Bombyx mori: one gene and its partner. The protein of the gene in region 2 interacts with the protein of the main gene of each other region in a biochemical or structural test. Links are inferred from orthologs where the notes say so. Each region holds a gene or a part of one and is shown on either strand. Other genes may lie near its edges.

Region 1 (4,100 bases), on a different chromosome or scaffold from region 2:
CGTTAATATTTTAGGTCGAAATATTTTCAAAAATACAGCAGTGAAGTATGTAAAATATTTCGATTCTAAACATATTTATGAGATCTATATTAGTATAATGCAGAATTGCTTGCGACGAAGGGCTCGGCGATTAAATTAACCTATACACACAGCCCACTGAGTTTCTCGCCGAATCTTCTCGATGGGTCGCGTTTCCGATTCGGTGGTAGATTCTGCGAAGCACTGCTCTTGCTAAGGCCAGTGTGAGCAACACCTCCGGTTTGAGCCTCGAAGTTCACCTATACGCTAGGTTAAGCTGAATTAGCCTCTCAAGGCTATCAGCATAAGTAGGAAAAAAATCAAAAAGGTACGTTCGGCTGTAAAAAAAAAACAAACGAATAAACAAAAACTTACCCTAACGAGATTAGCGTTTATGTAATCGTTCTCGCTACGCTGTAGGACGATGCGGCTGTGGTCGTACGGGTTCACGTCGCGGTAGCGGTTCAGCGCCTTGTTGTGAGGCCTCTTCGCCTCCACACAAGTGTACGGGAGCTTTTGACACTCCTGACCGACCCTCTGCAAAATATCAACAGTTTAGCATCTCGGAATACGACTTCAACGCTATACTACATACTACTACTACGTAGGAAAACTGCGCTCGTATTCATAATTATAGCTATTGTTGATTTCACTTTTGCATGATATATATAGTATGTCTGGAGGAAATTTTTTATTTGGGGTCGCGCTAATAGCGAGATTGGTGGCCTAGTTATCTTAAAGCGGAAATTAGCAATTAAAAATTCTTTGTCTCGAAATCCATTGTGGGTGTGGCTTCAGTCGTATGCTTTTGAATGCAGAGACAATTGCGATAGTTCGCCTTATTATCTCATAATATCGCGGGTAGAAATGCGGTTGTCGTTTTCGGAGAAACAACATAGATAGGGAAAATATTGACTAAAATTAAAAATTATGAGGTAGATAATAATGTTTTCAGATTATTTTGTTATGTTCACAACTTTAATTGGCATTTGCACAAATATAAGTTAAAATGTAATATTCCGGGTATTTGTAATGTTAATAGTTTTGTTGTAATTTTATAAGAGAAATAAGTATTAGACAAAAATATGATTCAATATGAATATTTGTTATTTTTGTTGTATATGAATATTTGTTCAATATGAATAGTTAAATCTAAGTAACCAAACAAAAAGGTATTAAAAATAAAAAATTACATAACATTTTACTGCTGTGACTATCTTAATTGTGATCCGATAGTATTTTTTGCTTAAATTTCTTTCTTAAATTGAGCTATTATCTGCAAATAGGCTATATTGTTGCCTGCTATTTAGGTTCATATCTATTAAAAAATGATATTTGAAATTTTTCAAAATTATTCCAGAATCTATAATTTTCTAATACAACCTATTTAGAAGAATTACTTTACTACCAAATCTGCCTGTCAAGCTGTACAATACATATGCTGCAGTTACATTACATGATGCAATTTGTTATACAGATATATGTATGAATTAAATGTATATTTTACAGTTTCAAATATTGTAACTGTAATTTCACATGTACCATTTCTTATTTAAATTATATTTTTATTATACTTATTATTATACTTATTCTGTTTTTAATATTGTAGTGGCATGTAGTCTTATTTTATTCTTTAACACTATCAGTCAATTTATATAATCGATACAATTTATTTACAGGTATACTGAAATGGTAATTTTTATTCTATAATATTTTAGAAATAATCAATCTTAAAATATTTAAATTAAAGTCATATCTTGCGATTTATAATTACAATAAATATGCAATCATAATATCCATAATTATTGAGTCCACCCGAAAAAAAAACAAAATACCCACATCAAATAAAATAAAAGTGGATTGTGCAAAGGTAGATCTGATTTTAGTAGTACCAGTATTTAATTTTTTATTTGGCTTTTACATAAGAGCATTCAATATGCTCTGATACTAAATTTGATTAGATGAAAGTTCCTTTTAAACGTGAGAGTAATTGAGTTAGTACTCAGTTAAATGTTGGTTGACATTTTTTAAATAAATAAAACAATGCTTCTGACAAAAAATGTAACTGTGGTTTCCTTTTTTATATATATTTTATGAACACCAAAAAACAAGAAGATTGATTAATTTCATAAAAAATATATTTGAAACCTACTAATCAGTAAAAAATTTATGTAAATTTAAAGGTTTACAGTAATATTTGAATGATAAGACAGTTTGCACGACAAAAGCGGAATTTCTTTTACTTCTAAACAAGTTTTATACCTGCATTGCCAGTTTTAAAAACTACGAAAACTTTAATAAAAAGTTGATTATACGGAAAAAGTTTCATGCGAAACGCATTCCGTAAATCTATTTGAAGAATTACAGTCCAGATTTGATAAAAAAGTCAACAATAATAACCGAATTACCCGAACATTATAAACGGCAAAATGTAAACACGGTTGCAACTTCTTTTGAAAGTTATGATGCGTGGCGCCTTGGAGCGCGTCATCTCATTCCACTACTAACCTGATAAATCAGGGGCCACCCATTCCTGTGCATGATATCCAGATATTCGGCTTCAATGCTGTTCAACTTCGGATTCATCGTAACTAATTTTTCATCTCACGCTGAATCTCAACAAAGGTGAATACCGCTCAGCCCGCGGTTTTTAACTCCACTGAAAAATTATTTCTATTGAGAAGCCGATGATGATACTCTGCAAGAAGCGTGTAGACCAATGTCGAGGTATGAAATCGGTAACACGAGAACTTCCAACGGAGTAAACGACAGAAATGATTCAATTTCACCAGAGTCGGACCTTCTGTCTGAATGAGTGCACCGCTGTCTACTTCAATGTTGTCGGTATGTTAATCGATTTCTACTATTTCTACCAACATGTCACAAAATTTTAGAAGTTTTAGGCTGTAATAAATCTTCGATTCTGTTTCACCATAGCAGCATATGAGTCGTCTATTATCAAAGGTGGCAATCTGTGCATTTGGACAAAAAATTTTTATTGATATTTCAATACAGATTTATTTGAATATAATCGTCTCCTTCAAAGAATACGGTTCAAAACCTGCATTAAATAAAGGTTAATAGTTAACCTGTTATTTATCTAAGATGTCGTTCCGAAGAGTTTTGTGACTGCCAATGGAATACAAAGTCAATAATTCGTTTTTCTGATTTACCAATCATTGTCCAAAAGTCAGATTGCCGCCTTTGATAATAGTCGACTCATATATTTAAAAATAGGCTCTTGTAGTAGACTAGATTTGTTAAATAGTAGTCAAAGAGAAATTAAAGTAAAATACTAATTAAAAGTTATATAATATAATTGATTGTAGTAACTCTTCCGAAAGTATTTAATCATAGCCTCTCCGGTCTGACTTTTTTGGACATTTTAGAATATCTCTCTGTTTAAACGTGTACCTAATAATTGTTGCCAACAGCAACTTTAATTGTACAAGTGGGAGAAAATGAACCCAATCACCAGACAAAGATCTACTGAAAATTTGGTAATATTTGTTTGGGGTAATATTGGTCTCGCTATTTTCAATTCTATTTGAAGATATGTAGACGGCACCGCTGCGTATTTAAAACCTTCACAAATCTATCCCATATTACACGTATTTTCATAATAAACTTGCATACATTACAATAAACTATATTACTAAAAGTGGCGATCATAAAATTTTACCGCCTGGGTAGAAAAATTAACTTCTTTGGAGAACACTCGCAAAAGAAACGAAGTGAATGATTATCTAAAATAAAAGTTGGCAACGACAGGAGAATTAACCAAATTAAAAGACATTACCTTAAACTAAATTTAAAAATATTTTTAAACATTTAGACACATTAGACAGGAACTTTTGTTAAAGTAATTCCGGGTAATTCGGACTTTCAAAATCAATTGCCGAAAAAACTTCGCTTCAACTTTATTCACCCTTATTTTACTGCGCAGTATAATAATAGTATGGGATAAGTCTCTTTTGCTTATCTACTAAACTGAAAAAAATTTAAAAAGCAGGAACTTTGACATTTCACAATTCGTGACGTAGGACGTTTCAATCCGTTTCATGAATTCACATCACAGTTGG
Region 2 (4,221 bases):
AATTTTTTTCTTTATAAATGTAAATCATTCAGTCATGTTCCTTTTAGACCTTATTTCGGTGTACTAACGGTAGGAATACGTCTATTTAAAATTCTATTCCACAAACTTATTTTTGTTCATGTTACCTTGATAAACTAATAATACGAGTAAAGTGCGCAACACGTTTGTCACCAACAGTTTTAAACTGCTATTGCAAAAAAAATGTTATTGTCTTTTTTAAGTGAAAGCTTCTTTATCATCGTTGTGATTCGAAAGTCGATGAACAGAAAAAGCGATAGTAGAAAGAGACAGACACTTAAATTTTTAAGATTTAACGTGGGAGAAAATGAAGTAGCATTAGTGTTTCTTAAATTCGTGGTTCTCTTTGTGCTCTGCTTCGTACCTAATATTCGTACTTAATACATATTGAATAAATCTATGTAATTTAAACGAATAAAGTGTAAAATAAATATCAAACTTTGTATCACTATGAACATTACTATTTTAAAACATACATAATTATCCTCTCCCTGAAATTTTACATTAACTTGAAGCCAAAATTTTTGAAGATTTCACTTCTACCACGTGTGAGTTACACGCATAATATATGTTTTTAAAGCTAAATGAGTATATGTATGGAGTTTTAGAAGGGCCTTCAAATTTGATCCACAAAAAAATTTGCACTCTTTTAACTTGCACTAGTTTAAGTTTTCGTTATTTTGTGTTCAACTTAAAAACTTCTTTTTATTCGCCGAAAATTCTAAGCTTTATAATTTTAGAAGAAGAGCTACTTTATTTGATCCCAAATCTAACAAATTTTGCATATAAAAATTTCCATTCCGGGACGGCTAGGCTGGCAGATGTAAAGCATTGATATAATTTTGTATGGGTATAGATGCAAGGATATTATAAGACAGAAAATCCATGTGGAATAATGAAAAAGAAAACATTAATATTAAGAAACTGTTGCTTGCACATGACGACTCGTCATAGAGATGTTTCACAGTAAAACCACAAACTTCTCTTTTCGCGTTCCTGTCAGAATAATTATGTTACTAAAACTGATGGCTTACTTTTGTGTTTTATCAGACCAAACAAAAAAAAACAGATCTAAAAGTATTGACTCTAAGTTCTCTCCTATAATCAAGCATGCTTCGTAAATCGTAATTTCTAGCCCGGATTTCTCGCCGGATCTTCTCAGTGGATCGCGTTTCCGATCCGGTGGTAGATTCTGCGAAGCACGGCTCTTGCTAGGGTTCACGTTAGAAACATCGTCAAGTTTGAGCCCCGTGAGCTCACCTACCTACTGGCTCGGATACGCTAATTCTCTCTAGATCATCAGCTTAGGTAGGAAAAAAAAGTAATTTCTAATATTGTCTATGAAATCAATTTTTTTATGGAAAAAAATTGAATTGTCTATTGATCCGTCGTTTGCCCCACCGAGATCTGTGGAGGAAAGTGAAATCATTTAATAAAAAAATTTAGTTTTTAAGGTTTTCATTGAAAAATTCAATAAAATAGCTACAATTAAATGCAATAGATATTCTGTAAGCTCAGAAAATATTCTTAAGAACCTAGTATTCTTAGACCTTACTCGGGTGCTACGGGAATGTTCAGCTGCAGATAGTTTACTTTTGATCCAAGATTCGCAAGGCTTAATTAATCAAAACAATTCGGAGGCTCGCTGTCTCTACATTGCAGAGACTTTGAGACTAATCGGTCCGTCAGCGTCAAACAGTGAGTGTAGTTTAGTGGGCGTTGCAATGTATCAGTGAAAGGCCAGCGGCCGAAGGCGACCCGCTGAGGGTGTCATGCTGGAGACGCGGTCGGCGCGCGCCGCAGATTCGGTGTGGGCTAGTAAGCCGCTGCCAGCACCTAACGCCATGGCCAATACGAGGCACGGGAAGAACGCTCAGGTGTGTACTCAGACTGATAGGTGATCAAGAATATACATGAGCAAGTTTAATACAATAGATTATACGCTTTTTATCATTATCACTATATACAGAGCTACTGCTCAAGTATCTTCTGATGGTTTAGTATTCAGATCAGTTTTGAAACCACCCAGTGGTTATGAGAAGTTTTCAAGAGTTATAAACCCCATTTGGATTTATATTGGATTTATTTTAAATCTACTAAAAACAACCACAATGAACAAATCAATGTATACTTTAGTAAATATATATCAGTAAATAAACATTGATAATGATAAGATAATGTAGAAATTACAAATATTTTAACACTGAACATACTGAGAGTTATTGTATACCTATTCCTACCACACTCAGGCAACTTTAATTAAAAAAGTATATAAAGTATAGGTTTTAATTAAAAAATCATTTTTAATATTTTAATGATTCTTTTTTTTTCTGTTATTAATCTGCAAATCTGTAAATCGAAATCAGATATGCTTATGCAACAGGTAGAGATTCAGTCTCTTGTCCAAAAACAAAGTAAGTATCCATAAATAAAGATCAATATTTAAAATTAAAATCCAATCCAAGATTAAAAGTTGATCCAATTAAAGTGTAGTGTGCCACTTGAGATTTCATTTGTGACTTTCTTCTAGAAAGTTAAGAGGCAGTTGGTTTGGATGTTGTTAAGTTGTCTTTTGTATTTGGTATAAAAAAAATCATATATAACTGTAGTTATGTATGTAGAGAAGTTTGTGAACTTCTTTATTTTTGCATGAAATTGTTTTTTAGTCTGGTTTTTCTTGGAAAAGAGAAAAAATAACTAGAAGTAAAGAGTTGAAAATATTATGTATATGCATATTCTAAGGACTGTATTATTGTTTGAAAAATGTATTAAGCTATATAAATTTTACAAAAGCTCTAAATGGTTAAATAGACCTATATATGCTTAGTGTTAAAAAGTCAAATTTTAGGAGCCCTTTGACTTAAAATCTGAAGAAATGCTGTATTGTTTTTTTTTGGAAGCAACTCTTTCTTATTTGTTAGTTTATGCAAATTTTCAAGAATATATTTATCACTTGAAAAGACTAGTATCATATCAATCACATCACAAATATTTACTATTTCATTATGCCTGATGAAACTGAAATACCACCACACAAAGAAACTTTATAAAGAGGTAGTTCTTGGTTGCAGCTGTAATAAATTGGGTTAAAATCAATTTGTTAAGACCCATAATCAACTATGCGAACCTTCAAATGGATGCTAGTATATAGTTATATATAGTTAATTTCAGCATTGTGATGTCTATGCAGATGTCCCATCAATGCAATAAAGTAAATAAACTAGATAGCAATTTTTATTATAGAACATTGAAGAATTTATACATGCAATTAAGTAGAATTATTACTTGTGTACTATTGATCCTATAATAGTTTAAAATTTTAAATTTGAATTTATGATACAATATCATAATCTTGTATTAATCAACCAACCTGCCCATAATATTTTGAAGGGCTGTTAGGTTAGGCTGTGCATTCTATAATAAAAACCTTAAAGCTCTCAATGTGGAGTAAAGCCATGGTTTCCAGGTGCCATGTATGGAAAACCTTTTTCGCTTAGAACTCAGCTCAGTCTATCTAAGAATGGGATGACCATAAAAGAAAGGAAAGAACTGCTTACAAAAAACTTCAAGTTAATTGTGTTTGTTCAACTTCATTACTTACTTTAATTGTAATTTGTCTAAAACATTCTACAATCGAGACACCATGAATTTCACCAATCAACAGAAATCTTGAAGAGCTGTTATTCTACCCTTCAAACCAGAATGTGTGATTGCTTCACAGCAGAAATCAGTAGAGTGTTAGTACCCATATGTGTACTCATAATATGGCCTACCAAAATCTGTACAAAGACAGAACACCTAGTATTTGACAGAATTTTTTGTATTCTATGGCTTAGAATTGAAGGATGCATTTGCCTATTTTTTGTACTGTTTTTTTCACTTCTATTATAATATTCAATAAAATTATGTGATACTGGTAACTGCATCGTATTGTGGTGTCCAGAGAGTCAACAGACATATTATAACTCAACAAAGACAATAAACCTTGGAAATGTTGTTAGTGATTTCACAAAATCTGTTAACCAAGAAGTTCAACAGCCTCACATTTGACGATTGATGTTTGTTTTACATTGCTGTACAACAATAACAAATAATAATAATAATAATAAAGATCATTTATTGCCTTTCACATCATAAAATGAAATACAAAAAAAAAGAAAAGCAAAATAAAAAGAGAAAAAGGCAAAAGGAGGTGGCTCAGCT

What was found. The genes of interacting proteins can lie anywhere in the genome.
Region 1: the proteins of cytoplasmic protein NCK1 (region 2) and Bmptp-Z form a complex in vitro, tested with the Drosophila melanogaster proteins (2 studies listed by BioGRID, with this or other methods). The link is inferred for Bombyx mori from reciprocal best matches to the Drosophila melanogaster genes dock and Ptp61F.

Annotation. Positions count from the first base shown.
Region 1 is NC_085107.1:1,847,004-1,851,103, reverse strand, and holds the start of Bmptp-Z (protein tyrosine phosphatase), read right to left. Parts: upstream 2,850-4,100; 5' UTR 2,605-2,849; coding exon 2,527-2,604; intron 556-2,526; coding exon 394-555; intron 1-393. UniProt on the Drosophila melanogaster protein: Non-receptor protein tyrosine phosphatase. Required for maintaining dock/dreadlocks in its non-phosphorylated state. Negative regulator of InR/insulin-like receptor signaling through dephosphorylation of tyrosines when recruited by dock/dreadlocks.
Region 2 is NC_085110.1:18,088,771-18,092,991, forward strand, and holds the start of cytoplasmic protein NCK1, read left to right. Parts: upstream 1-1,388; 5' UTR 1,389-1,790; coding exon 1,791-1,895; intron 1,896-4,221. UniProt on the Drosophila melanogaster protein: Adapter protein that links cell surface receptor tyrosine phosphorylation to downstream signaling pathways and effectors, many of which are involved in regulation of the actin cytoskeleton.